4 linked regions of the Notamacropus eugenii genome follow. The protein of the gene in region 1 interacts with the protein of each later gene in a pairwise test. Links are inferred from orthologs where the notes say so. Each region holds a gene or a part of one and is shown on either strand. Other genes may lie near its edges. The genes, in order: HOMER3, WIPF1, PKN1 and EAF1.

Region 1 (6,904 bases):
GCACAGTCCAGGTGAGAGGTGATGGCGGCTTGCATGGAGAGGCCGGTGGCTTGTGTGAGTAGACTGCACAAAACTTAACAAGTGGATGTGGAGAGGCCAGGGAGAAGACTGAGGATGTGAACCTGGGTGACGGTCAGGAAGGAAGGGGGTAAATCAGGCAGAGGCGGGAGGAGAGATGATGAGTTCCCTTTTGGACATGTCGAGTTTGGAATGCTAGTGAGTTCTGGGCTGGGAGTTAGGAAGACCTAGCCTCATTCTCACCTCTGGCACTCAGAGCTGTGTGACAAAGCACAAAGCACAACCTCTCTGAGTGGGTTTCTTCTTCCGTAAAGTGAGGGGGTTGGACCACAGAGCCTCTGAAGGCCCTTCTGGTGCAGATTCTCTGATTCTCTGATCCAGCTGGATCTGGCTGTTCCACTTTTGGTGATACTTAAGAGTAAGAATAATTCTGGATATAAAGACCTCGGATTCTTTGACATAAAGATGAGAGCAGACCCCCGGGAGCTGTGCAGAGACAGAGGACACCGCCATGGGAGGGGTGGGGCGGATGGGAATGAGGAGTAGTGGAGGGGCAAGAGGTAGTAGGAAAAGGATCCCCAAAGAGGAAACGGTGGTCAGTAGAGTCACTGGCTGGGAGAAGGGAGACAAGGGTGAGGCTTGAGGAAAGACTATCGAATTCAACAAATAAGTGATCATTAAGTGACTTTGGAGAGAGCAGTTTACATCGACATGTTATAAACCAGATCCCAAAGGGCCAACAAAGGAGTGGGCACAACTTTATAGGAGTTTGGCTTTGAAAGGGATCAAAGGCCAAGGCTGGGGAAACTTCAGCCTGGGGGTCACATGTGGTTCTCTAGGTCTTCAAGTGAGGCCCTTTGTATCCAGACTTCACAGAGCAAATCCCCTTAATAAAAGGAAGTTCATGAAGTTTGGATTTAGTCAAAGGGCCTCACTTGAGGACCTAGAGGGCCACATGTTTCATCAGGGTCACAGGGTCCTGGCCCTTGAATAGGTGATTGCTGGAGGGGATGGAAGGATCAAGTGAAGAGTTTTTAAGGATGGGATTTGGGGGCAGGATTGGGCCTTGGTTGTAATGGGTATTAAGGGGTCCCCTGAGCTTGTCTTTTTGAGTTGACATATTTTCCAGTTGTAATTCATGTCTCACAGACTTGTGACAGTGTTTTTGATTACTGTAAGTCAGAGTTGGATGGCATCCTTGAACAAAGAACACAGAAGACAGATTTTGGCATACTGTTGGTGAGAGGTGATGAGTGTCTGAAGCAGGGCAGTGACTGAGTGGAGAGGCCAGATGGGAGATGTCTTGTGTGAGTAGACTAGACAAAAGTTAGCAATAGATCAGGTGTGTAGGGAGAGGGAGAAAGGCTTAGATCAGACCAGATATCTTAAAGTAATTATATTAGCAGCAGAACCCAAAAGGACCTTGGAGATCCTTTATTGAATGTGCTTGTTTCACAGAAGGGAAAGCTGAGGGCCAGAGAAGGCCACTGATTTACTCAAGTCCCTTACAGATGGAATCAGGACAAGAACCTGATTTCAGCAATGTGTCATACGGAGACCAGGGAAGGCAAACATGGAGGGCAAATTTAAAATGATCTTCCCCAAAAGCCACACTGTCAAGAATTAAAAATACCCCTTGTAAACAAATTAAAATTAGAGGCTTCTGTGAACCGTGGGCCTCTCTCAATGCAATCACATATCTCTGTAACCTCTGCCCACGGACCAGATTTCATCAAAACCCATTAAAAAGTGATGAGAGGCCCTGCTCAGTAGAATTTTTGCTTAGAGATAGTGGCTAGCATTTTCCAGGGCACACAACATAGCTCAAATCTACAGCCTTTGTCATGCTTAATCTGCCCGTGTCAACCCTGTGACAGAGGTGGAACAGACTGTCCCCTCATTTTACAGAAGAGGAAAACTAGCACCCAGAAGGGGTCTCCTTAGGGTCTCCTTAGTCCACAGTGACCTCACCAAGGGATTGTGATCAGGCCTTCCCTAGGGAAGGGACCTAGTCCAACCCTGAAGTGACTTGTCTAAGATGACAGAAGCAGTAAGTGGCAGTCAGGATTTGAATCCAGATCCTGTAGACTCAAGTCCGTTATGCTTTGCAGTACACCATAAGTCTATAAACCTTCCTTATGAGTCCCTTCTGCAGCTCTTTTCCCCGAAGCATTTTGCTTGTCAGGAAAAAAAGAATGGTATTAATAATCTATAAGGAGAAAAGAAGTCATTGTAGTTCTGGGAGAGCAGAAAAAACAGAAATGAGTCTGAAGGGGTGTGGGGGCAGGGGGCCCAATTACAACCCACTAGGGAACCCTCCTCTTTATTGGGCCAAAGTCCTAATAAATTACTTCTAACCTAAGAGCTGTAGCCCTTCAGGGTTTTCAGTGAGCTTTCTATACATCATCTCATCTGGGATATGGAAGGTAGACACCCCGACCCTCACTAATGGGGGTTCAGAGAAGGTAAATGACTTGCCCACAGTCACTCAGTGGCCTCCACAGGGCCTGCCCAGTTCTGCTTCTGAACCCAACTCTCTTTCCAGCAGACCACTCCTCCTTAACTTGCAGTCCACTTTATCTCTCGTATTAGGTTTCTCCTCCCTCTGAGGCTGTGAGCCCAAGAGGGCAGGGCCTCCACTTGTATGTCACAGTTGTTAAATAAATTTGTTAAAAATTAAAGGAGCAAGGAAAGCATTAAGCAGCAGCAGGAAGGAGGAAAGGCACAGGATCTTGGGGGGAGGGAAGGGGACCTCCAAAATACAGTCAGAGAGGCCCCAACCAGCCCAGCCCAGAGTGGCCATACTGTGGAGGAAAGGAAGTTGGAAAAATTGTTAAGAGTGAGCTACAAGGGATCTGAGGAGACCTTCTAATATGATAGGAACATTTTACAGAGGGGGAACCTGATACCCAGAAAGCATCAGGAATATAAGGAATTTGAATTGAGGTCCTCCAACTCCAAAGCCAAAGCTCTTCTGGGCCCTTTCCCAGGGAACTGGCAGTCTGGGTAAGGGAGTTGATACTGACATACAGGAAGCTGAGAAGGGACACAGGATTCAGTGCGATTAAGGGCCGGAGGGTGGAGTTTCAATTCTGTGTCCTGGTAAAGCCTAGATAAAGGAGAGAGGGGGTTCGTGGGCCTCCGGTGACACTGAAGTGTGAGGAGAGAGAGAAAGAGAAAGAGAGGAGAGAGAGGAGAGAAAGAGAGGAGAGAGAGGAGAGAGAGAGAGAGAGAGAGAGAGAGAGAGAGAGAGAGAGAGAGAGAGGGAGCGCTTTGAAAAGCGGGCATGGCACTGTCTACAGCTGAGGGGTACCCTAGGACACCCACATGTTCAGTAGCCTCCTGAGCTCCAAGCACCCAGTAGGAGCTTTAAAGTTGGGACTGAAGGGTTCGGGGCAGGGTCTCTTTCTCAGTCAGCCAGTAAACACGACGCGCCTACTATGTGGCCGGCACTGCGTAAGTGTTTCCCCGCGGCTCTCTCGATACAATGTATCGCTGTGGCTGTCTTTGTGGCATGTGCTGGAGCCGGGAGGCGCCGCCTCCGCACCTCCTCCTCGCCCTCGCGGCGCCCCTGGCTGCCCGCTACGCCGCGCCACGCGGAGCCAGCCTTGACCACGAGGTGACCGGTCCCCACGGGGCGGGGCTCGGGTGTCCTGCAGGTGGCGCCGCTGAGCGGGCCCGAGAGCAGACAGATAAAGTCGGGGGGGCAGCGCGGGGCCAGGACCGCTATGGGGCTGGCGGCCGCGGGCGGAGGCGGAGGCGTTGGGGAGCTGGAGCTGGGGCTGGGGCTGGAGCTGGGGCTGGGGCGGGCGCTCCGGGAAGACAAAGACTGCGGGGCGGCGGCGGCGGCGGAGGCGGCGGCGGCGCGGGGCAGGGCGCGGCGCTGAGGCCGCCCGCCGGGGGCGCAGCGCGCTCGGAGCCCCGGCCCGAAGTTGGAACGACGCGGTGCCGGGAGCGCACGGGAGCCTGGCCAGCGGGAGGTCCGGGCAGCACGGGCAGGGGCAGCTAGCGGGTGAGCCAGCCTACTGGGGTACCCTCGGCGTTCCCCAAAGTTTGCGCCTTCGTGCCGCGGGCTGGGGCGCCGGGGGCAGCCCGGGTCTGGAGGCGCGCGGGGGTGGGGGGTGGGGAGCGCGGGGCATTGGCTGCCCCAGGGACCAGCCTGGCTCTTCTCAGCCCAGCCCGGCGCGGATACAGAGGGGGCGCAGCCCTTCCTGGGAGCTGGGGAGCAGGGAGAGGCTTGGGGAGACCGAGGTGGGAGAGGCGCCCCCTCCCATCCTCCTTATCTAGCTTCGAGGCTGGAGATGAGGGAGGTGAGGGACCCTGGCAGAGTCAAGGTCTCTAGCTCCAGGGCTGGAGATGAAGGAGAAGACCGCGGGAGGGGGGGTGCCTTGGGAACAGTAAAGGCTCCCAGCCCCGGGATTAAAAATGAGGAAGAAGATAGGGGGACCCAGAGTAAGGATCCCTAGTCACGGGGGAGATGAGGAAGAAAATAGGGGGGACCCAGGCAGAGTCAAAGTCCCCAGCTACAGAGCTGGAGGTGAAGAAGAAGGTGAGAGAGGCAGGGTTCCCAGCCACGGGGTTGCAGATAAGAGAGAAGATAGGGGGGCCTCGGGAAGAAGAAGAGTTCCCAGTCCCAGGATTAAAAGATAAGGGAGAACATGGAGGGGCAGTTTGAATAAGGGTCCCCAGTTCTATGGCTAAAGATTAGAGGAAAACCTTAGGAAGCAAGGGGGAGTCCCCGTTACAGTAGGGGAAGTAAGAAGCCAAAGGGGGAACCAAAGCAGCATGAGGCCCCCTGTTCTGAGACACTTTCTCGTCCTAAGCCTGGGCACGTTGGATTGGGGGCGATTCAGGGTGGGGGGACTACGAGAAGCAGCCTTCCCTCCCCCATCTTTGAGAACGCCTCTGCCCAGGGCGAGTTGTATGCCTCAACTTGCCAACTCCACTGTGGGCACCACCCCCTCTGTGCCCAGCCCAGGTGTCAGGAGAGGAGGAAACTGGGTGCCCCAATATCTAGGACCTTATGACCCTGAGCCTTGAGAAAAAGGGTTTCACTCCAGGGGCTCCTGGAAGCTGTGAGCTTGACCCCAGCCCAGGGTAATCAGATCTCCCAGCATGAACTCTCTTTCCATACTGGGTTGTGGGCTCTTGGGGGATTTTAGCTCCCTGACCCCCTGGTACATTGTGTCAAAACTCTAGGAGTTTGGAATGAGTAGACCCCTAGATCTCCCCCTTGCCTACCTTCTTTGTGGTTGAGGGTATCAAACTGCAGAATGCCTGATCTGGAAGGGACTCTCATCCAACACCCTGATTTTACAGAAAGGGAAACTGAGGCCCAGAGAAAGGAAGGAACTCACCCAGAGCCGTACAACAAGTGACTGGAAGAGCTAGAGCTAGCAGCTAGGTCTCTTGATTTCTATATGTGTTTTTTCTGTCCCAGTTCAGCTGATCTGACTTTTGACCCCAAAGAACTTTTTCAAAACAACTGAACAGCCAAAGAGAGTCCTGGGAGTGGATTCAAGCCAGCTGGGAGAGGGGGATGGGGCTTGCTGCCCTTTGGGATAGCTCCCCTCACCCTGCTCAGCAGCCAACTTCACCAGCCCTGCCAGGAGCACTGGTGGGGGAGAGGGGAGATGGGGAGCCCAGATGGGGAAGAGCCTGGCTTTGTGATTCATTTGGGAACACCAGGGGTGGGAAAGCTCCCAGGGAGCCTGAAGGAAGGGGGAGTAGGATAGACAGGGGTCTCAGTTCAGTATTTCCTTCTGGGAAACCTTGACAGGAAGCAGAAAGCAGGAAGGGGTGGGGGTTGGAGGTGGCAACATACAAGGATGGGGGTTGGCTGCCCCCCAAGGTGGGGGCGGAAGGGGGTCCGGTTTCAGGCTGTGCCCATGTGACCAGCACAGCTGCAAGGAGGGAGGGAAGGCAGGGAAGGGAAAAGAGGGTCTGGTTTGGGTGAAGGGAATCCTCAATCAGGCTGAAATACCCCAGACTCCCTTGGGATCATTCTCTTCACAGGACCCACAGGCTTTAGCCAATTTAAGCCCCTCTCTCTCCTGCCTAGACCCTGGCGGCAGGTTTGTGGGTGTGTTTGCATGTGTATATGTGTGTGCTGGGGGTGGGGGAGGTGGTATTACCAAACTGGGTTCCGGCAGGAAAACTGGTAATAAGGAGAATGCTGGATTTAAGATCAGGACCCGGGACTGAGTTCTTTGTATATGCCTTATCACCTGTGTGACCTTGACCAACTGCTTAATATCTCAGGGGTCTATTTCCTTCTCCATAAAATGAGGGGGTTGAATGAGGGAGTTTCTGTGGTATCTTTCTGCTCAGGACCTATAAAACCTATAGTACAGGTTCAAGGGCCCCATCAGCATTGTAGAATGTCTGAGGTATAAGGAAGGGTTTTATAAGTGTTGAATGAAAGTGATTAGGCCAGCTAGCTGTCTTTACTGCTTCACTAGGCCCCACAGGGCCCTCAGAGCTTTTGGTCTCTCTCCATCCCTGCCCTGTAGTTAGGGGAAGGGAGGAATACTTCATGGACCACCCCTAGGCTCTGCCTCACTTTTCCTCCCTCCCCTGCCAGCCTGTGGGGCTTGTGTGTTGGTTGGCTGAAGGAGGATCCATGAACAACCAAGTGTTAGTCAGTGTTGTGGGGGGGGGGATGTGGTGTAGGGGGCAGGATGAACTTTGTCCTGGGGCAGTCTCCTTGGTCTCCAGGACCTGGGTTGGAGGCCTTACGTTTTAGGGAGTGACAACAGCGTCATCCAGCCCAACTATCTAAACTTACAGAATAAGGAACTGAGGCCTCTTGGGGGCTCATTCAAGGTCGTATTAGTAATTAGTAGCAGAGGCAGCTTTCAAATTGAGATACTGACCCCAAAATCTA
Region 2 (7,758 bases), on another chromosome or scaffold:
TTTGAAGGACTTTGACTATTTGCAGAAAAATCTCTCTTGTTTTAACTATGAATGTGATGTCCTCCATGACAGTGACCAACACCTTTATTTATAATCACTGAATCACTGAACAAAGTTATCTCATCTGTCAAGGAATCTTGTGCTATTTGAACATATACATGGGAAATATTTTATTGAAAGAAAAATTTTAAGGAGACATTTTCCTCTACAGATTCAACTTTTTACAATCAATTAAACAAAATGCTGATAGGTAAGAAGCAAATATATATTAAAATATTCATCATGATCAAGTAGGATTTATACTAGGAATCCAATGAAGGCTCAAAATTAGAAGATTTGTGGGATCATATATTCTGGCCATTAATTATATAACTATAAAGATATGATTGTGTTTTTAATATAATACATGTGCTAGTTTATCAAAAACATTCATGTGTTGGTATAAACATATTATAAAATTGTTTTTATTGTTAATAAGTTACTATGTTGTTTTCCTAATATTGAGCCGTCATTGTATTCCTACTGTAAATCCAACTTGATTATAATGAATATTTAATATATTTTTGTTTCCTACTTTTTGTGTGTTTGTCCTTCATTGCCCAAGAAGACCATGCTATCAGAGAAATGATGACATGACTTGCACTTCACTGTGTTTTGAGTGAGGAAGGGCGGTGCAGGTCTCCAGCCTCACTTCTCCTCCAGAGCCATCTGAATCCAGTGACCAGATATTCATCAGGATGACTGGAGATGACCCAGGATGAGGCAGTTGGGGTTAAGTGACTTGCCCAAGGTCGTAGGTCTAAGATCCTGTAGTCCCTTATCAGTCATGAGGATTAGTGATGATAGTGAGCCATTTCAAAAAGGAGGCATCATGACTCATGTCTAAATCATCTAATAACATACAGTTGCTGTTCCTTGACCTGCTAATTCCCAACCTTGGATCATCTCCTCCTCTTATTATTTAATTTTTAGCATATTATTTAATATACATAATCATATTCATGGATGTAAAGGAGGTTGAGAATAGGCAATCAGATAAATAGGAGGATAACTAAGAGAAAAGAGTATCATCAGCACCCAGGAAAGAGAGAGTGTCCAGAAGGAGAAGGTGGTCGATCCTGTCAAATACCCCAGAAAGGTCAAGAAGGATGGGAACTGAAAAAAAAAGTCAATGAATTTAGTAATAAAGAGGCCACTGGTGATCTGAGAGAGAATAGTTTTGATCAAATGGTAAGAGTGGAAACTAGACTACAAGGGACTGAGAAGTGAGTGGGATGTGGGAAAGAGGAGGCAACAATTGTAGACAGCTGTTTATAGTAAGTTGACTGTGAGAGTAAAGCTATAGTATGATAGTTTGAGTGGAGGGTAGGGCATGTTTACATCTTTGATTCTTCTCCTTTAGCCCAAATAATCTAACATTCTTTCTCTAAAATACACGTGTTTAGTAAAATAAAGGTTAAACACTAATTTGTTAATGAAGAGGAATACTAGTACATGTATGAAACAACTGAGGAGCCATTGATGAAGAGCAGTAGAGAGAATGGGCCTCACAAGTATAAGGTGGGGACCCATACATGACTTGAAAGGAGGCAGAATAGACATCTCTAGCCTATTTCCCCTCCCCACCCCCACCCTTCTCCAAAGGAGATTTTCATTCCTGCCAGGAGAGAAAGCAGAAAGTTAGGCCACTATACTCTTCTCAGAGAAAGACTGTATGGGACCAGAAGTATATCTATTCAACTTCCTTAAATATTATTCACATAGGGGATACGTTCAGGTTCCATTTAACTTCTGTTCTCTTTGTCATTTGGGTAGAAAGAAGAACCTCAAGTTCTATAGCCAAGGCTTGACCCTTTTCCCACACAATACCATTGCATAATGAACACACATAGCAAATAACAAAAAAACTCATACATCCAAATCAGAAGCAAAACAAATCAAAGGAGAATATATACAAGACAATACAGAATGAAGGAGCTCTCCCCTTAGGAGCCAGATTACAGTTCAACCATCAAAATGTCCCAGATCTCCCCCAAAGGGAAATTCCCCAAAGTCTCGAGAGTAGCAAATTGAAAATAGGGACATGGAGACCACAAGCACCTCTCATATCTTCCCAGAGGCTTTTCCTTTTGCAACCTGGAGTAAGGTTGGCTTCTTCCATCTTCTCCATCTCCTCTCTCTCTCTCTCTCTCTCTCTCTCTCCCCGAAGTCAAATAGAAGCTCTAAAAAGACTCTCACTTGGAGAGTCCCCACAGGGGGACTGGAGAAGGCTGGAGTTCTCTTAACTCTCTCCAATTCTGCCCATCCTTCCCAAAGCGCAAGGTATTCATCTCCACCAATAATTGTGTTCCAAACATAGTAAATGTTTAGCATAAATTTATTGAATTCAATTCAGTTCAATTGATGTCTCAGTTTTTCACTCTAATTCCCATAATCTCCATTTTACTCTATCTCTATCTCCTATCTCAGGCCTCACATCATCTGCCTTCAAGATCCAGAGCTCTGAAATTCTCTTTTTAGGTGACAATCTGTCTATCTTTCTATACTTCCACCTCCGTTTCTTGACTCTCTTCTTTGCCTTCACCCTGAGGTCAATTATATCCTCCTATCACTACCCCCATTGTAGTTTCATCTCCCTAAAGTCCATTCCTATTCTAGGTCTAAGATGTCCCTTATCAGTCTTGACGATTAGTGATAATAGTGAGTCATTTCAAAAACGAGGCATCGTGACCCATGCTTAAATCATCTAATAACATAATTCTGTTGTTTCAACCTTGGATCACCTCATCACCTTATTTGCAGCTTCCCCTTTTATTTCTGATTATTACTTGAGAGCTGCTAAAGGAAACCTATTAATATGCATAATATTCATGCTATTGAATCTAACTGGGCCCTCACTACTGCATAATAATATTTAAATTTATTTCTGATGGACTGCCCAGTAAATTTCTCAAACTCCTAACCTTTACCCATCTTCTCTCTCAACAAATGACCTTGCCTTCCCCAGACTGAAGCTATCCTACATGAAATCTCTCATCTCTCCTTCACATGGAAAAATCTTTTTCTGTCTTCATTCATCCTTTTCTCTTTCCCTCCTGAGTGAAGGGGGTAGACTTCTTTCTTCACTGTCCAGGTTTACTCCACCTAAACTCTTGATCACATCCTTGTCTCTGCCATTACCTTGCAATTCTCTTTCATCTTTCATCTCTTTTTTCTCTTTTGATGCTAAACTTTTTTTCCAAGCACTTTTTCCACTTCCTTACCACCTGTGCATCTCTCAATAATCCCTTGAAATACAGCTTTCATCCCTACCTCACCAGGGAAACTACTCTCTGTGAACCCAAGAATGATATTCCAATTGACCTAAACCAAAACCTTTTATCAACTCTTGCTTAAAAAACAATTCTTAAGCATCTCCATTTTTTTTGCTTTCTTTTCCTTTGCCTTCCATTACAATGTACTTTCCTGGTTCTCCTCCTACCTTTCTGACTACTCCTCTGGCTTCTTCACTAGTTTTTTTCTTCATCCTATAATAGCCACTTCAGTGTGGTTATCCCCTAAGGTTCTATCTATGACTCCCTCCTCTTCTCTATCCTCCTTTTCAGTGCTAAATTTCTAGAAAGTGACCTTCATGATCTCACCTACTTCCTGGTTTCAAACATTCCCACTAAGATAATAATCAAATCTAAATCTCCAGCTCCAACATCTACCTTCAAGCATATTGCCATATTACCTGTATGACCTTCCTACACCTCATACTCAACATATCCAAAATGGAACTCAAGCTTCCCAGAGGAAAAAAAAACCCACAACAACTTATCCCTCCTCCTTATTTTTGTGTTTCTATTAATGATACCATTATCTTCTCAAGTCATCCAAGTTCATTCAAATCAACTATATTTCATTCTTCCCTTTCCCTCACCTCCCATATCCAATTGTCAAATGCTGTTCATTCTGCCCTCTCAAAATGTCTCATCTGTTCCCTTCTTTCTACTTCCCACATTACCATCTTAGTTCAGACTTTTATCACCTTTTGACTATACTATTTTATACACCTGAGCTACCTCATTCCAGTCTCACCCTTGTCCAATTAATCCTACACTGAGGTAGCAAAATAATCTTCCTAAGGCATAGGTCTGATTATGTTACTCCCTTTGCTCCAAAACATCTTATCATTTTCCACTGCTCAGGACTTAGAGTCAGGAGGTACCTTGTTTCAGATCCCAGCCATGGACTTACTGACTGTGGGACCCTTGGACAAGCCACATAACCCCTGTGAAAGTCAGTTTCCTTATTTGTAAAAGGATAATAATTTCTAATAATTCATTAGGACTATTATCAAATGCTACATCAAAACAAATTATTTTTCTCATTTTTTTCCACTTTGAAAGACATCTATATTTCTTTTTACTTTTTTATATATAATTAATTTATTTTTAGTTTTCAACATTCACTTCCATAAGATTTTGAGTTTTGAATTTTCTTCCCTATCCTTTCCCCCTCACCCCCGCCCCAAGATGGGGTGATATAAGCTCCACTTATACATTCATATTAAACATTTTCATATTAATCATGATACAAAGAAGAATGAGAACCAATGGAAGGAACTATGAGAAAGAAGAAACAAAATGAAACAACAAAAGAAAAGGAGAACAAATATTATGCTTTCATCTGTATTCAGACCCCCAAGTTCTTTCTCTGGATGTGGAGACATCTATATTTCTTTTGGATAAGTTTTTAAAAGATACAATTTAGTTTTTCAGAAAAAAAATTTTAGGACAACTCAGATTATGATTCAGTGTGCACAACTCTTCACCTAGACAAAGAGGCACATGGAGCTTTTACATTCCTGTTCCCCCAATCCATACCCAAATGAGCTGCTTCTGAAGAAGGCCCCTGCGGGATATTGATATAAGGAGATAAAGTTCAAGGCCCCTATCCTGCATTCAAAACTGGCTCTAACCCATCTTTCCGGATTTATTACGTCACACAACCCTTCATGCCTATCTCTATTCCAGTTAAAGTGAACTAATAGCTATTTCGAATCTCTTCCTAGCATCTCTCACCTCCACCACCCCACATTCCCTGTCAGAGGTAGAAGGAAATTTAAAGATCATACAGTTCATTCCTTCATTTTAGAAAAAAGGAAACTGAGACAGTGTCTCTCCACCCGTCATTGTTAAGTGACTTGCCCAAGGTGATGCAAGCAGAAAGTGATGGAACACAGATTCAAACTCAGATTTCCTGTCTCCAAATCCTGTGATATTTCAAACTATGACTCTTCTCTCTGGAAATCCTCTTCCTTCAACCCCCTTCGAGAACCTTTCCCTGTTCCCTCCTCTCTCCACCCAACTAAGATTCCAAGGTCCCCAGGTTCTTCACACCCTTCTGTTTTTCTTCTCTCTGTAAATCCTTTCATCACATTTTAACGTGGGGTCGTAGATTTAGAACTGGAAGGGACCTTGGAGATCAAATCCGACCGCCTCATTTACTGATGAGAAAACAGAGCAAAGAGAGGTTAAATGACTTCCCAGGGTCACACAGCTGGTACGTGAACCCAAGTCTGCCGGACTCCAAGCCCCAGTGCCCAGTCTCCTATGCCATAAATACTAGTTATGGGAATACATGTGCCATCCCCCTACGGGACCATACATTCCTGGAGGAGACGGACAGCGACGTCTTCGCCTTTTTAACCTCCGTGCCTCGCACACGGCAGGCGCTCAACAGTTTGTTGACTGAAGACAGGAAAGAAGCGGTCTCCAGCGTCCACAGTGGCAGCTGTAGCAGCGGCGGCAGCAGCGGCCTGCTAAGTCCACATGTGGCAGGGCCGGTAGAGGGGCGGGCAGGGGGGTGGGGGAGGTAATGTTTGGAGTGGGAGGGTTTACATCACCGCGAAGTTCCCGGATGGTCGTAGCCTCCGAGCGCAGAGAGCTTTTCCTGCCCGCCGGGGAGAAGTTTTCCAGAGAAAAATGCCCCGTGCGCTGCAGCTGCTGGGGAACAAGCGGGAGCCGCCGCCTGCAGCTGCGACCGCCGCCCTCATCCCGGGAGGGAGCCCGCGGGGAGGGTTCTAGGAGCGGAGCACACCCGGTAAGAGACGCGTTTTCTTCCTCGTCCTGGCTTATCTTCTCTCCCCCCGCCCCCGCCCCCACTTTCAGAACCAGGCTCCAGCTCAGAAGGTGGGGCGAGGTGGGGGATTAGGGGGAGTTGGATGAATATTTGTGCGCGCCTGTCAGCAAGCGGGGCTTTCGGGGTCGGGCTGAGCCCTCGCAGCCTGGAGGTTATGAGTGCAGCATCTGGCTAGGAGACCCTCTCTCTGGTCTGCAAGGCACATCTGCAGAAGTGAATGCCCTGCTCCTTCCCTCGGACTGGGAGGGGGATTTGGAAACACTACTTTGGGGATCAGTGGGAGGGGGGAGAAGAAGGAGATAGTGACGTGGGAAGTAAGGAGAAAAGAAAAAAAGAGAGAGATGTCGAAACAGTCCTTATTTACTCCAAGAGTGGGTTTCGTTGAATAACATCAGTCCCCTCCCAGGCCCTGCTCTCCCAGATGTGTTCCCAGCTCCTTCATCCAGCTTTCACAAAGTGGCTAACTTTTTCCTTTGGCTGCCGGCAAGGCGCTTTCTCGGATGGCCTCGCCTTCTTGATTCCTCCCCTCTGGCCGGGATGGGGCAGTCCGGGGACCGCAGGGCAAGAGGTACTTGGAGATCTTAGGAAGAAGGTGACTGTGGTGCTGCCCTTGCGCTCCGGGACAAAGCAAACTGACAACCCTTCCTGGGCTCCGCTTGACTATAGGGCGAGATTGCAAAAATCCAGTACTCGAGCTGCTCTGGGCGGAGGCATAACGAGTCCAGAGCTAATTTGCACACTACCTGCACCAAAAAGAGGAGAAAAGCTAAAAGAGACTTGTACAGCATCCCCATCAGCTTTTTTTAAAATGAAACAGTTACTTTCCGTTGTATAGTCCACTAACACATCACCTTCCTCAGTTCCTTCCTTAAATTGGACTCTTGCCTACTTGAATGTCTCCTCCAAACGTTCCCTCTTTGCATCTGCTGGTATCCGTGTATGCATGTGTGTGTGCATATGGTCACTGACCTTAAAATCACTGCCAATTCTACCCAGCACTTTTCAAAAGTATAGGATATACTCTTCCCAGACTTCTCTGCAATCATTTGTTTCTCCAGTTCCTTACTCTTTCTTTTGCTTTTTTCTAATAATATCTTCCAAAGATTTAAAGAAGTTAATTGTCAGTGCTCTCACCAGGAAAAGGAAACAAGCTGACCCAGGCAGGAATTCTGCCTGGTGGTCCAAATGCAGAACTGGCATTAGACTTGGAAACTTCTTAGTTTAACAAAGGGTGGGTCTGTTTGAAGGCAAGCCCTAGACAACTGGTGTTGGTCAGAGCAGGCTAGATCTGGGCACCCCTCTCTTGTTTCATTTTTGTCCCTCTTAGTCTTATACCCGAGAGGAAGAGGGAAATAGTGGATAGAGTGCTGGACTTGGCAGCAGGAAGACCTGTGTTCAAATCTTGCTTCTGGGACTTAGTAACTGTGCAATCATGGACCAGTCCTTTAACCTATCTGAGCCTCAGTCTCTTTATCTCTAAAATGGAGATAATCACGTCTGTTATTGTGAATCTCAGATAAATAATGGGTAAATAAAGGTGAAGGGTGGCTGAAGTGGTGACCAGTAGGATGTGAAAGGTGTGAAGAATGTCATTGTAGAAGTTCGAAAATGACCATTCTTGGCCTCTTATTG
Region 3 (7,321 bases), about 10 Mb from region 1:
CTCTGAGGCAGCCCCAGGCCAGTCTCTAAAGTAGAAAGGCTAGTGCCTGGATCTAGATCTGTACCCTGAGGCAAAGTCCTGACCCCCAAGGACACTAAGAAGAGGAAGATTCTAGACACCACACCAGATCGCTAAGAGAGGCAGTCAGAAGCACGGTTCTAGTCCCAATTTTGTCCCTAACTTTCCATGCTACCTCATGTAAATGACTCAGCCTCCACTGACCTAATTTTGCCCATCTATAAAATAAGGCAATTGAATTAGATAGTCTCTAAATTCCCCTTCTCTTCTGATGATAATAATAATAATATCAGCTTATATTTATGTAACATTTATGGATTGCAAAGTGCTTTCTCAGTTGTTAAAATTTATATAAATGTTATTGTTACAAAGTGCTTAACATACATTATCTCATGTAATCCTCACAAGTATGGTTATCTCCATTTTACAAAGGAGGAAACTGAACCTGAGAGTTTGTGGCTTAACTGTATTTCATATTTGTATAACACTTTATCACTTACTCCCTCTGAGAGACAGAAAATAGCCTGGGATATGGAATCAGAGGGTTCAGATCCCAGCTCTCCCACCTATCTGACACTTCTCTCTGGGCCTGTTTCTTCCTCCGAAAATGAAAGGACTGAACTAGATGGTCTCTAAGAGCCCTATTAGCCCTAAATCCTATTATCAATAGTATAGGAATATCCTTATTTTACGGTCGAGGAAACTGAGGCTGAGAGGGACTAGCTAAATGATTTGCCCAGAGTAGGAAGTGACAAAAGTAGGACAGGAATCTCAGTGTCCTGACTATAGATGCTGTGTTCTTCCCATTATACCATAGCTGCCCTCAGGGACTATGAGTCTACTCTCAGGTGGTGCTGAAGTGGGGCTTGGGGTAAGAAAGGAGAGAATCTATGCCCAGCCCTTCTGTCCCAGAACAGATGGTAGAGGGTGGCTTCCCAACTCCCCCTATTCCTCTTTCAACTGTTTTTATCCCCACCCTTATGATGGGACTAGGGCAACTGGGGAAAGCCGCAGGGTTCCCCTGTTTTCTCTTCCCCCAACCCCCATTCTAGGATAAAAACAAAGGATGCCTGGAGCTTCACCCCATGTCAGACTTCGGAAAGTGTGTGGGCTAGAGAAGGGAGCCTGGAGTCAGGACTCCTGGGTCCACAATGGGGGAAGGTGGGGCCTAGATCTGTGTATTCAGGATGCTTAGGTCTTTGGGAGAGGAAGGAGCCCCTCCTCCCCATGACTCACTACCACCAACACCAACACCCCCCCTCCCCCCCAGGGCCAAGGGGTTAATTAGCTGTCAAGGCCCTTGAGGGTAGGAGGAGAACCACAAGCATATCTGAGTGACCTGCTGCCCTATACTCACCCAGCTCAATCATCTCCTTCCTTCCCTCCCTATCTACTGGCTCTGAGTGGCCTCCCCAACCCCCATATTGCCTGTCCTGTCCCTCTGTCTGCCTGTCTCCATGCTAACACTTGTCTGTCTGTTTGTCTATACCATGTCCGGGTTCAGGATGTCCGGTTTCTGCTCAGGAAGCTTCAGAACCATTCAAAGTGCCAGACATCATTGGGGGTGGGGATGCCTGGGTCCTGGACTGATGTACAGGCTGGTAGGAGGAAGAAAGTACTGCTTGGATTCAGGGGCTGAGGATGGCTGCCACCTGGGGACCTTGCTGCAGGAAGTGGTGATTCCGAGAGATAGAACTGACCATCCCAGCTTGGCTACTTGCTGGCTGGGTGGCGTTGGGTTGGTCCAGCAGCTCTTAACCATTTTTGGGTCAGTCTTGGCAGGCTGGTGAGGCCTAGGGAGAATAATGTTTTTAACTGCATGAAATAAAATGCATACAACTACAGAGAAATCTACTTATATTGAAATACAGTAATAAAAATATATTTTTTAGAAAACACCAATAGTTCATGGGCACCAGGTTAAGAACCCCTGGGTTAGTCCCTTCTCTCTTGGCCTGTTTTCTCCACTGTCAAATGAGGAGGTTGGATTAGATGGTCTCTAAGGGTCTTTCTAGCTCTAAGTCCTATCCTGAATCCAGCCACAATTTTGGCCTAGAGGAAGGGGAAAGTTTCCCCCTGACCCCAACTGAACCCAGGGCAGCTGCAGAGCTAGGCCCCAAGGCCCCAAAGGCTGAGCATCCCAGCCAGGGAGTGAGTAGGGATTGGGGCAGGCCCAGTGGCCTCTCCCCGCCCCACATTCCTGGGTGACTGAGGTCACCAGGTTCCAGCCCTGCTGCTTATACAGCTGAGTTCAGCTGGCCCTAGAAAGGAGGACTGAGGGAGTCTGATCAGTGACAGAAGGCAGGCACTGTGAGAAGAGGAGGAGACTAAGAGAACTCAATGCCCCTTCCCATCCCTGTCCTCTCCAAGGGCCTCTCTGCCTCCCGCTGGAGTAGCAGGGTAATGAAAAGAGCACTAAAATTAGAACCAAGAGGCCTGGGCTCAGGTCTTAGCTCTGTTACTACTATGATCTTGGACAAGTTACTTCTCCCTCTAAGTCCATTTCCTCATCTATAAAATCAGGCGTAAACTCGATAATCTTTAAGGTCCTCTCCAGCTTATTTCCTCCTTCCTCCTCATGATCCTGTTAGTGAGGGAGGAAGAAAGATAGTCTTCTCTCCCCTCATTCTTCCCTAATGAAGCTGGCTGGGTTAGGAGCCTGGACTCTTGGGTCCCAATATTAGCAGGACTTAGAAGTCCCGGGATTCACAAAGACTCTACCATCAACATTTGCTCTTTTTCTAAGTGACAGCTTGGAGAGATAGGCTGTGTATTTGGGAGACTAGAAGAAGAATCTTGATACAGTAGCTTTATAGTTTTGAGTTGTGAATCCTGCCTGTGATACTTATTATCCATGTGATCTCGGGCAAGTCACAACCTTTCTGGCCCTCAGTTTCCTCCCTCTGAGGCCCCTTCCTTCTATAGATCTGTGATCCTAAGGCCCAGGTCTAGCTCTTGAATTGGGGAATAGTACTGAGGTTGCTCATTTAAGGCATGGGCCTCAGTGCCTGGGGTATTAAGGAGCAGGCTTAGAACAATGGAATGAGGATGAGGGGTAGAGTGGGGGGTGCTGCTCAGGCTGGGGGTGTGTGTGGCCTGAATAGGCCCTTTGTGGGGCCTGGCCCAGCTGGCCCCAGCCCTGGGGGATTGGGTGACTGGCAGCTGGGAGAGGAAGAAGGTCACATTGCAGGCTAGGAGGTGTGGCTCCTGGGTTCCATGCTGGGTGGAGGAGGGAAGGGACCCCAATCACAATGGAGGGAACCATTTTCTCCTCTCTCCCCCCACCCCAATTCTGCCCTCCTTTGGAAGGTGACCTGAACTCAGAGTCACCCCATTAGATGTGGAGTTCAGAGGAACCCAACCTCCAGCCTTAGGACTCACAGAGCTAGACTAATTATGGAGTGGTCTTGGGAGAGAGAGAAGACCAGTTTTAGATTCAGAAAGGGCTGATTTGAATCCTACTTGGGTCCCTTACTAGCTGTGTTTGGAAAAGTCACTAAGTTCTCAGTGACAGAATGGAGGATACTGGGTTTTGATGATCTGTAAGGTGGCTTCTAGCTCTGGGTCCCAGGTTCCCTCCAGTAACTGACCCAGCTCATCACAAGGGCTGCTGGAAGTGGGCTGCAGCCTTGGAGGAAACAGGAAGTCTGCTTTGGGAGATGGGGAAGGACAGGTCTTAGGTATGGGGGTAGGGGAATGGGAAGAGAAGAGTCAGGATTCAGGGGAAAGGGGAGCAAGCCCTGTTCAAAAGTGGTATTATGCCAAAAAGAACATTGGTTTTAGAGTCAAAAAGAGATCATTTGAATTCTGTCTCCTCTTACTTGGTATATTTGGATATCACTTAACGAATTTATGCCTCAATTTACCCTTCTGTAAAATAAAGGAATTGGACTAGAGGATTTTTAGTCCGCCTGTAAATCATGTGATTCCTAAATCCCATGGACCAAGGTCAGCCTCTTTGTGCCTTTATAGAGACATGAGGACATATGGCCAAACGTGGAGACATGCAGTAGATGAAGAGGCCCACCAGGAGGCATCATCATACACACTACCCCAGCCCTGCCTGATGACCCAAGTCTGACCTAGAGCAGGAGGAAGTGGGGGGACCACCCTCACTCACCCTTTTACTTATTCTTCTTTTGGGGGACCCCAGATGTTGTAGCTGGAATCTAGCAGGTTGGTCCTCTCTGTGTCTGGCAGAGGGGTGCTCTTCCTCACCAGTGTTTCCCTGATTCTCTAGTCCCCTTTCCCCCTCCCCCAGGGGGGCCCACATAGAGAGGCCTGGGACTGGCAGGAAAGAGGAAGTAGCAGACACAGAGCTCTGGGCCCTGCCAGGAAGAGAGGGCGGAGCCGCCCTAGGACCCAGGATGGCGGAAGCTGAGCCCCCCTCGGACCTGGAGCTAGAGGTGGGGGACAGGGCCAGGGTTTGGGGGGACTTTGGAGCTTGGACAGTCAAGCCCTGGGGATAGGGACCATCTGTCTACCCTCTTCAGCTGTCTGTCTCCTCCCCCACTTCACTCCCTAGCTGCTATCAACCCAGGAAGGCCAGGGCCAATGACATAGCTTCCTTCTGGGGCCACTAGGTAGGGGTCTGGCTGGGCAGTCCAGTAGGAGTTGATGACAGGATGTGGGATACGGACCAACTGGCTATCTGCCATTCCCCTTCCCTGCCCCAGACAATTAAGGAATTTTTTTGGTCAGTGTCAGACTTGAGGGTTGGTCACAACAAGGATCCTGGGTGACCATGGGATACTCCTGGGCAGGAATTTGGATTTATTGGAATCACCTCTCCACCAGAATTCTGGGTCATCTGGAGTAATTCCCTCCAGGACTTTGCTGGCATTGCCACTTGAGCCAAAATTACTGAGGACCCTGACACCTCTTTTCTGTTGGAACCCCAGTTACACACAGCCTTTACCATTGGCCTGATTCTGACTTAATGCTTCTCTGAGCTTTGGGGAAAGAATATGTTCCAGGGGATTGGGATGGGGAGGGGGAGGAAGGCAGCCCTTTGCACCAAGTAGAAAAGGATTTGAGGTCAACGATCAAATCAGAGATGGGTCCTTGGGCCCCTCCATCCAAGAAGTCTGTACCCAGCACCTATGGTATATATGACCAGGACTTTGTAGGGCTATGTTGGCTGGGAGGCAGGGACTTGGCCTTATCCAGTCTGCAGGGGAGCTCAGACTCCCTATTCTCCGCCTCCCTCTCTTGAAAACTGTGAATCACTGTAGGGATGGGGTTCAGCTTAAAAGGGTCATAGGTCCCCAGAGGGTAAAGGGCTGGAGTAGTCAGTCATAGCTTTCTGGAGGCAATGGTATTTCACTTCTGAGGATAGAGAGAAAGGGAAGGAATTGCATCTGCCAAGGTAGGAAAGAGTCTAGCCTGTTCTGGGGTAGGAGAAGGGGAATTTGGGGGAGCACAGAGAAAAGTAGGAAGGGAGTATAAGGATTTGGGTTCAAGCCCTAGATCTGTAACTTACAATGTGACCTTGGGCAAATCACTTCCTTGCTATGGGCCTCACTTTCCCCCTGTGTAAAATGAAAGAAGGTTTGTCAAGGTCCTTTCTAGTTAATAATCTTTAGGTCTGTGAAGGTGGGGAACCCAGGTTCAGGAGCTTTAAAATGCTGAGGAAGCATAGCATTTAGAAATGGAAGGGACTTAAGAGTCATCTGGTCCAACCCCCTCATTTTATGGAGATGGTTGGGGTGGGGGTGGATGAAAACAGGCATGACTTGCTGGAGGTCACATAATAGCAGATATGGGATTCACAATCCAAGTATCTGATTTAAGCCCTTTTCCACTGTCTCTGCTTCTTCAGACGAAGGGATTTGATGGGGTGCTCCCCAAGCTGTCTCTTCCAGCTCTCAATCTTGTGATCCCATGAGGCTGGGCTTGCCATCAATGTAAGGCTGAGGAGGCTGAACATGGTCCCCCCCCCCCCCCCCAGTTAGGTGTTTCCTCCTGTCCCCTTGGGTTCTTTGGGATCCTGAGTCCCCAGCACGCTGAGCTATGGCCTTTCTCTGTCCTCTCCACAGAGCGAGCCCGGGAGCTGGTCAGTGTTGGAGCAGCTAGGCCTGGCAGGAGCAGACTTGGCAGCCCCAGGGGTACAGCAGCGACTGGAGCTGGAGGTGGAGCGGCTTCGGCGGGAGATCCGAAAGGAACTGAAGCTGAAAGAGGGGGCAGAAAACCTGCGGCGGGCAACCACAGACCTTGGCCGGAGCCTGGGGCCAGTGGAGCTGCTGCTTAGGGGCTCCACCCGCCGCCTGGACCTGCTGCACAGCCAGCTGCAGGAGCTCCATGGCCTGGTGGTGCTGCATGAACCCAGCCAGGCCCAGCCCCAGCTGGGCCAGGCCCAGGGTGAGCAAGGTGCTAAGGTCCCTGGGGAAGTGGCCTGAAAAGCTAAGAGACAGCAGAGACACTGGGCCCTGGGGGGAATCCTGCTGGGTGTGAGGAAGAGTCCAGGTTTGGGGCAATCTTAATGCCAGGGGCTCCAAGGAGAAAAGAAGACTAGGCTCTTGTTGGTCCAGGAGCCCTATAGAGATACCTATGTAACATCTCTGGATGATTATAAAATGGGAGAGGCCTACGGCCACTCCTCATCTCCTAAGGCTGTCCTTTGAGCTGAGGGGTAAGAAACCTAGGTCTAGTCTCTAAACTCTTGTCTCTACCAGGAAATACTGGTAGTTTTTTTTTGGGGGGGGCGGGGGGAGGCATAGACAGGTCAGGATTCCAGACCTCCAGCTTCCCAGCCCCCAGCTTGTCTTTCTGGCTTAAAGTGGAAACCACACCAGCAGCTCCCCTTACCTCAGCTCCCCATGAAATATTCAGACTTCAGGCAGGCAGAGCAGAAGCAAAGCACCTAGCTGCTGGGCAGTGGGACATTAGGGTTCCCAGTTTAGCCACTTACTTTTCAGGGAGAGAAATCTCTAGCACCCCAGGAAGAAAGAGGGAAGCTTGGACTGCTGTATCCCAGGATCAATCAGTCCCACCCAGGGAATTCCTGGCTAGGTACTGGGCAGAAGTGACTCTGACTTCTCCCCTCTCTGTGCTTCCCAGATGGTCCTCAATCCCCCAACTGCTCGGCCACCAGTCTGAGTCTGGTGGCGGGCTTGGAGAAGCAGCTGACCATCGAGCTCAAGGTCAAGCAAGGGGCAGAAAACATGATCCACACCTACAGCAATGGCAACACCAAGGTGAGCTCACAGTGGAGGCTGGGGCTGGGAAGGAGCACATTTCCCTAAGCTCTTCTGCTAAAGACTGGGGGGACAGGGAAGGAAGGGCTAGGAGAACCTTAGCTTGA
Region 4 (7,182 bases), on another chromosome or scaffold:
TTCCCGGTGGAGCACAGAGCTTAGAGGGAGACAGCCTGGATTGGAGGCCCTTCTCTGACCTTCAGTCCCTTCATTGGTATCCCACAGAAGCAGCACAGCCATGGACTGAATGCTTCCAAGCTGTGTGCCCCTGAGCAGGTCACCAACATCTGGGGGCTTCGGGGAACTCGCTAGGAATCATCTACTAAACCATTTTTTTTGCTGGGAGCTCTTCAAACTAATGATATCAGAGATCCCATGTCACCAGAGGTCCTGGGATGGGCTTTGTCAACTGCCCCATGGCAGATGTGTGCTGGTATGGATTCATCAGATACTCACCTTGTCTTCTTGACCTGAATGCTGCTACTGAGTTTTTCCAACACGTATTCACCAGTGTCATGATTAATGATAAGAACACAGTCTTTCTGATAGGGTCTTTTGTTTCCTTTGAACACAGTCATTGGAGGTGTCGATCCCTATTTAAAGTAAAAGCACAAGACAGTCATCTTAAATGACACATGGAATGTGCCACTAACTAGAAAAAGGTGACTATCTTTTAAAATGGTTAGCTAGCATGAGTAACTCAGACTCATTTTAAAAAGCCCTCCCAACTAATTTAAAGTATTTCCATCCTTTTCTTACCAGTTAAAGTTGTGCATATAGAACAAAATGTACTGATTTCTGGGATAGCTTTTGGTTCCCCCTGGGGATCAAGACAAATAGTGATATGATGTTTATTATCCCTGAGCGGACTAAATGATCCTAAAACAGGGACAGTAATAATTTAAGTATTTTATTTCCTCTTCTATTAATCTGGGCAATTAATGTTTTTGCAAATATTCATCCATTTTGTTTAGATTGTCAGATCTGTTGGCATACAATTGGGCAAAACAGCTCCTAATTATTACTTTAATTTCTTCTTCATTGGTGGTGAATTCACCCTTTTCATTTTTGATACTTGCAATTTGACTTTCTTTTTTTAAATAAAATTAACCAAAGATTTATCTATTTTAATGATTTTTTTCCATAAAACCAGTTCTTAGGTTTATTCATTAGTTCGAGTTTTCTTAATTTTAAAAATTAAACAAATTTTATTAATCTCTCCTTTGATTTTCTAATTTGATATTTAATTGGAGATTTTTAATTTGTTCTTTTTCTAGCTTTTTTTAGTGGCATGCCCAAGTCATTGATCTCCTGTTTCTCTATTTTACTCATCTGCACATTTAGAGATATAAAACTTCCCCTAAGAATTGCTTTGGCTGCATCCCATTAATTTTGGTATGCTGTCTCATTAACAGAGACAGTAACAATGGACATCGGTTACATGCTACGAAGTTGCCAAAGCATTTTATCTCTATTATCTTACTGAGTCAAATCTTTCTCTGTTCTGGTCCATCCCCTCCCCCCCAAAGCTGTAGACCTTGCTCCCCAAGAATTCCCTACACCAGTGGCATCCCCATTCTGGACAAAAAAGTGCAGAGCCCCAAACTGGGCCTGGAGATTCAGGGACAAAAACACGTCTCCTCCCTCTCAAGGAACCTTCCTTCAGGTGCCCATTTTTCAGCATCTTGGGCTCAAACCTCTCTGGATCAGTTCTGCTTTGGGACGCGACACCTCGATTTGATCTCTGATCCCGGGCTCCTCTTACGGAGACGTCCTGCTTCCATCCCAGCTGCCCAGACCCTGTGGCCTTAGGCCTGCCATCTCTGTCCATCCCCTTTAATTCTGGACCCACGCACGGCCTGGGCTTTAGGTGCTTATGGGGGACTCCACCCTCCACCACCCTCCACCCAGGTGACTCCCAGCCTGGCCCAAGGCTCCGGGCAGCCACGTGTTGGTGAAGGCGGTGCTAGCCACTTTTCCTCTAAGCAGCTGACCCTTGTAAGGAATATTACCCCATTACCACCCAAAACCATTAAGGACAGACACAGCCCTGGCACAGCGGGGCACTCCCGGCCTTAGACACAGGCCCACTCACCGGGATGTGCGGCAGCGTGATGGTGACCTCGTCCCCTTTGCCCACCTGCAGCTCTCCTTCGCACGAGGTGTCTATGGACGCCGGCTTGAAGTCATCTGGGAGGACAGACACGGTCAGGCCCGGCCGGGCCGCTGACCCGGGGCCCCCTGGCGGGCCCGGCTGAGAGCTCGGACGTCGCCCTGGCTCGGGTGAGCGCCCAACACCACGAGCCCCCGCTGACGGGGGGGGCCGTCTTAGGCCGCCCCCCACACGGAGCCCGCGCGGAGCCGCCCCGAGTCTCCACGAGGAAGGCTTTGGGTCGGACGGGGCTTTTCTGGGAGGCGTAAGAGGAAAACCCAACAGCCCGATATGACGGCGAGAGAAAAGCGCGAGGAGTGACGGGCCGAGCTCCGCGACCCCGGGCCTCAGTGTCCTCCTTTGTCCGGAGGGTCCAGCGGACCGCTCCCGCGTCCGGACTGCCGGGCCGCCCCCGCCCCGCGCGGGGCTCACGGGTCAGACCGGGACGCTAAAGGAAGCCCCTGGGCCGGGCCTCGGGAGGGGGGCGGGGCGGAGGGGCGCCGGGGGCGTCTACGAGGAGTCTGTGGGGGGCGCTGGGAAGGTCCCGGGAAGCGGGAGGGCGGAGCGGAGGACTCCACCGGGGCCCGGGGCGGGGGGGGAGGGGGCTCGGTCGGGGGCGGGAGGCCGGTCCGGCCCGCGGGTACTCACAGCGGATGGTGTGGAAGGAGGACTTGGGCCTCTTCTCGAAGCTCTCGCCGAGCTTCAGGCCGTGCTCCTCGCGGTCCAGCAGCGGGTTCGCGGTGCCGTTCATGGCCCTTTCCCCGCCGGGGGAGGCGGCCTCCAGTTACCGCCCGGTCCGACCCCTACGCCGGTTTCTTCAGCGCCGCCCCCGCCCTGAGGGCCGGCCGGCACTTCCGGCAGAGGCAGGGGGGAATGGTGCAACTGGGACACCGCTCCGCTCCGAGGCTGCGGGGGCGGGGGCGACCCCCAAAAGAGGCCGGAATCTCCTTCTACGCTTCCGCCGCGCCAGGGGCGGGGTCTATGGGGAATAGGGAGGGAACTTCCGGCGTCACCGCCCCTACCGGAAGTGGGGCGGAGCAGTGCTACAGGGAAAGCGTTCCGACCGAGGCCCGGGACTGAGCACACTTCCGGTCCGCGCCTGGGAGGGTACGGGCTGAGCTGCTCTGGGACAGGGCTGCGCACCTGCTCCGCCAGCCTTGGGCCTTGTCCGTGCGCCCCCGGCCCCGGCCCCGGCCCCGGCCCCAGGCCGACTCGGCCGCTCGCCACAAGCCGGGTAGGTAAGGCCAGTTAGGGAGGTTGTGCCCATCCTACAGACGAGGAAGCTGAGGCCCTGGAGACCCAGAGTCCTCATCCCGGCCCCTCCACTGACTAGCCCCATGGCCACACGCAAGCCCTCTCCTCCCCCCCGACCTCAGTTTCCCGGTTTGTAAAAATTCTGTTCCAAGATGAGGGTGGGAGGAGCCCCGGCTCTCTGACTCTTGGGCCTCAGTTTCCTTTTCTGTAAAACGAGGGGGCTGGACCCCACGTCCCTTGCAGCTCTGCTCCCCCCACGAGCTTGGCCAAAGTGGGGGTGAGGGGCCGTCCAGCCCCCAGCCTGGCCCCTGGTACCCAGCCCTGGAAATACAAAGGCAAGCCTGCCCCCAGGGGGTAACGCTTGGACAGGCCCTCGAGGCCCTGGAGGCCAGCCGCACCTCCCTAGGGCCCGTGGTACCTGGTCTGGAAAACGTGGCTGTACCCCCTGGGGTGGGGGGTGCAGAGCGGGGTTTAGGGGGGCGGCCTGGGGTGGGGGGTGCAGAGCAGGGTTTGGGGGTGGCCTGGGGTGCGGGGTGCAGAGCGGTGTTTAGGGGGGCAGCCTGGGGTGGGGGGTGCAGAGCGGGGTTTGGGGGGTGGCCTGGGGTGCGGGGTGCAAAGCGGTGTTTAAGGGGGCAGCCTGGGGTGGGGGGTGCAGAGTGGGGTTTAGGGGGGCAGCCTGGGGTGCAGGGTGCAGAGCAGGGTTTAGGGGGGCAGCCTGGGGTGGGGGATGTTGAGGTTAGACTCCCCTCCCCCAATAGATGCCATGGTTTCCTTCTTGTTCCCACACAGTGGGTGTGACAAAAATTACATTGGCACATAGTCTGGCATATAGTGGGCACTTATTAAATACTGGATTTTTCAGGAATTCTGTTTCTGCTGAACCATCCTCTGGGGAAGGGAAGAAAATATCACCACAACAATAATAATTGCGTCTGTTTATATGACTGTGTGCCACGTACATTGTGCTAAAATTGCTTCGTAGTCGTCTCATTTGGATAAACATTTATATTGTGCCTACTGTGTGCAGGCACTGTACGCTTGTGACACAGGAAGCTATAGCCCAGCAATGAACCCGTTACTATGTCGCTTCTAATCTACATAAATTAAAACAACAGAAATAGAATATAAAATGATCACATGCTCTCATTCAACAATCCAGGAAGACCTGGATTTTTGCTGAGTGGGATTTCCCCACTTGATTTTTGGGTGATGCAAATACAGTTTTACAAATACTATCTCATTTTATCCACCTTAAAATGTTCAACTGACCGTATTCTCATTTTTATTCCTTTTTTAGCTCCTGATCCTGTTTGAGTCGGGGGAATTGCTGCCTGAAAATGAACATGAGGAAACCTAGCTAAAAGAAATTATCCTCAAAAGGGCTGCAGGAAGATGAATTCATCTGGGAATTACAAGGATGAAGACTCTTTAATGGGATTACACGTGGTAATGTCCACCAGTGGAGAGAATCTACTTCGGAAGAAAGAACAAGAGAGCAGGCCTCAAGACAGAGATGGTACAGTTGTGTCTCCCTTTAAACAGGCAAAACTAGAAAAGGAGGCCCAGAAGAATTGGGACCTGTTTTACAAGAGAAATAGTACAAATTTCTTCAAAGATAGACACTGGACCACCAGAGAGTTTGAGGAACTGAGGGCATGTAGGGAGGTAAGTCAACTAATACTGCCTGTATAAGAAAGATAGTATGTGTTTGTCTTTCGTTGCCAAAGAAAAACATGCCATCAGAGAAATAATGATGACTTGTGAGGGAGGGCTGATAAGAGAAATAAGGCCTGAATGGGACTCCTGGGGAGGAAACGTGCTGATCCAACATCCCTGTAAATTATGGTATTAGCGATTAAGTTACTCACGGGACTTAACCGAGGTCCTCCTGACTTCTGAGGCCAACTCTAGCTCAGAAGTACCAGCACCTAGTAAGCATTTAACGAATGCTAGTTGACTCTGCTTTTGTGGGCGTTAAGTAAATGCCAGTGAATGGGTCTCAGGTTTTGGAGATTCGTTAAATGCTTAGCAGTCTACTTGAAGGTGTCTTTTCTGCTGTCCTGCTGTCTTAAACTCTGCACATCTTATCTGGCTTACTTGGTGCTTGTGACATGAAAAATACAGTTGGCCAGCAAACCATTTACTCGAAGCTGCTAGTGAAACTTAATCCAACACAAATTAAGACAACACAAATAGAACATAGAATTATCACATGCTTTCTATTCAGCAATAAGACCTAGATTTTGAATAGGTGAGAATTAGCAGTTTCATTTGCTGATCATGCAAATATAACATCTACTCTTTTTTTTTTCCCCTCAGTTTGATGATCAGAAGTTGATTATCCTTGAAGCTGGCTGTGGGGTTGGAAACTGTTTATTCCCACTTTTAGAAGAAGATCGAAATATCTTTGCTTATGCGTGTGACTTCTCACCCCGGGCTGTGGAGTATGTTAAGGTTGGTATAGTAGGTCTGTGATGATACTTCTTTAAGCCCATTTATGTACATTTGATTTGGCACAATGGAGGCTAAATTAATCCTTTTCTGTTACAATTGATGTTACCAATTAGTGCAAATTGTGAAAGGGAAAATAAGTTGGTTGTATGCATATACTGAGACTCTGACCAGCAGCTTTTAGGTGGTGACCCCCTTGGTAACTGGCAGAGTGAAGGTGACAGGTTTACTCACCCACTTTGTCACTCCCGTGACCCATGACATCTCACTCTTGAATTGGAAGCACAGAGTGGCAGATAGAAGAGACTTTTGAAGTAATTTTTGCCTTAACTCCTCCCCAAAGCACAAAGCGAGCTGAGGGATCCTCAAGTGAATTGTGAAGTCTCAGTGATCCTTGCCTGTCAGCACTGATTGTGAAACATCTTTCCTTATGTTTTCTTGAAATCTGCCTTCCTGTAATTGCCCTCCATTCCCGAGGGCCAGGCAGGACGAGCCTGCATGACAGAGCTACGTGTCAGGATTCAGATGTTGGCTTGTAGCTCTCAAGTCCCCAGGGAGTACTCACTTCCTTCAGTGACTCATCTTTTGGCCTGGGTGGTACCAGGTCCCATAGCGTCGCAGTCATTGTCCTAGGACTTTTCAAAAGGGCTCCAGAAGCCTGGCAGGGACACTGAAGGGCTTTACCATTTCCTTCTCCAGCTCATTTTGCAGATGAGGAAACTGAGGCAAACAGGCAGAAGTGACTTGCCTGGGGTCACACAACCAGTACATGCCTGAGGCCAGGTTTGAACTCCCAGTGTTGAGTCTTCCTGACTTCAGGCCCAGCACCACTCTCTGCACTGCCTGGGTGCCCCAAACTTCTCCCCTTAGCTGATTTTGACTCAGGTCTTTCCTTTTCTCCCTGTAAGTTTTCATCTTGTTAGTCTCATCTTACGATCCCAGCAGAGGACTTTTGCTCCATCTTGGTCAGTGATTAATGAATATATAGATGTGAGAATCAATAAAATAGGTTTCTGAAAATCTTAGTCTAAATATTTTATGAGTTCAGGATTCTGCCCAGTCCTGGAGTTACAGCCATACTGTCAGGGTGTAAGACATACAGTCCTGGGATACCTTATTGATAATGGAAAAGGAATACTAGAGTTCCTTGGGATTCCAATACATTGAAAAACCTCTCAGTCTTAGAAGGAAAAGATCCCCTGCCAATCCTCCATGCTTCAAAGAGAATGAAAGGATGACTGTGAGGTGGACTGTGAGCATTCAGAAAACTGTCTAGGGGAGGAAGATTCACCGTGAGGCCTTCCCAGAGCCTGGAAGCCTGAAAGCTCTGCTGTCTGTTCATTAAAAAAAAAAAAAAAGCCCTCTGTTTGCCAGAAGAGAGATTCAAACTGTAAGATATATAAGAAAGGTAGTATCACATTCTGTGGGAGCAAAATGTAGAAATGACAGCAGGTAACTGATGT

The links.
Region 2: the proteins of HOMER3 (region 1) and WIPF1 interact in binary tests that used the Homo sapiens proteins (3 or more experiments, as listed by UniProt). The two-hybrid records come from large-scale screens. The link is inferred for Notamacropus eugenii from reciprocal best matches to the Homo sapiens genes HOMER3 and WIPF1.
Region 3: the proteins of HOMER3 (region 1) and PKN1 interact in binary tests that used the Homo sapiens proteins (3 or more experiments, as listed by UniProt). The two-hybrid records come from large-scale screens. The link is inferred for Notamacropus eugenii from reciprocal best matches to the Homo sapiens genes HOMER3 and PKN1.
Region 4: the proteins of HOMER3 (region 1) and EAF1 interact in binary tests that used the Homo sapiens proteins (3 or more experiments, as listed by UniProt). The two-hybrid records come from large-scale screens. The link is inferred for Notamacropus eugenii from reciprocal best matches to the Homo sapiens genes HOMER3 and EAF1.

Annotation. Positions count from the first base shown.
Region 1 is NC_092875.1:66,414,164-66,421,067, forward strand, and holds the start of HOMER3 (homer protein homolog 3), read left to right. Parts: upstream 1-3,885; 5' UTR 3,886-4,030; intron 4,031-5,337; exon of another isoform or gene 5,338-5,468; intron 5,469-6,033; 5' UTR 6,034-6,100; intron 6,101-6,904. UniProt on the Homo sapiens protein: Postsynaptic density scaffolding protein. Binds and cross-links cytoplasmic regions of GRM1, GRM5, ITPR1, DNM3, RYR1, RYR2, SHANK1 and SHANK3.
Region 2 is NC_092876.1:236,944,799-236,952,556, reverse strand, and holds the start of WIPF1 (WAS/WASL-interacting protein family member 1), read left to right. Parts: upstream 1-4,740; 5' UTR 4,741-6,087; intron 6,088-7,758. UniProt on the Homo sapiens protein: Plays a role in the reorganization of the actin cytoskeleton. Contributes with NCK1 and GRB2 in the recruitment and activation of WASL.
Region 3 is NC_092875.1:76,500,432-76,507,752, reverse strand, and holds the start of PKN1 (serine/threonine-protein kinase N1), read left to right. Parts: upstream 1-4,318; 5' UTR 4,319-4,385; coding exon 4,386-4,424; intron 4,425-6,056; coding exon 6,057-6,378; intron 6,379-7,077; coding exon 7,078-7,214; intron 7,215-7,321. UniProt on the Homo sapiens protein: PKC-related serine/threonine-protein kinase involved in various processes such as regulation of the intermediate filaments of the actin cytoskeleton, cell migration, tumor cell invasion and transcription regulation.
Region 4 is NC_092874.1:38,508,196-38,515,377, forward strand, and holds the start of EAF1 (ELL-associated factor 1), read right to left. Parts: upstream 3,007-7,182; 5' UTR 2,766-3,006; coding exon 2,663-2,765; intron 2,449-2,662; exon of another isoform or gene 2,247-2,448; intron 2,053-2,246; coding exon 1,958-2,052; intron 456-1,957; coding exon 319-455; intron 1-318. Other genes in the region: tRNA N(3)-cytidine methyltransferase METTL6, read left to right, coding at 4,661-4,933, 5,588-5,722. UniProt on the Homo sapiens protein: Acts as a transcriptional transactivator of ELL and ELL2 elongation activities.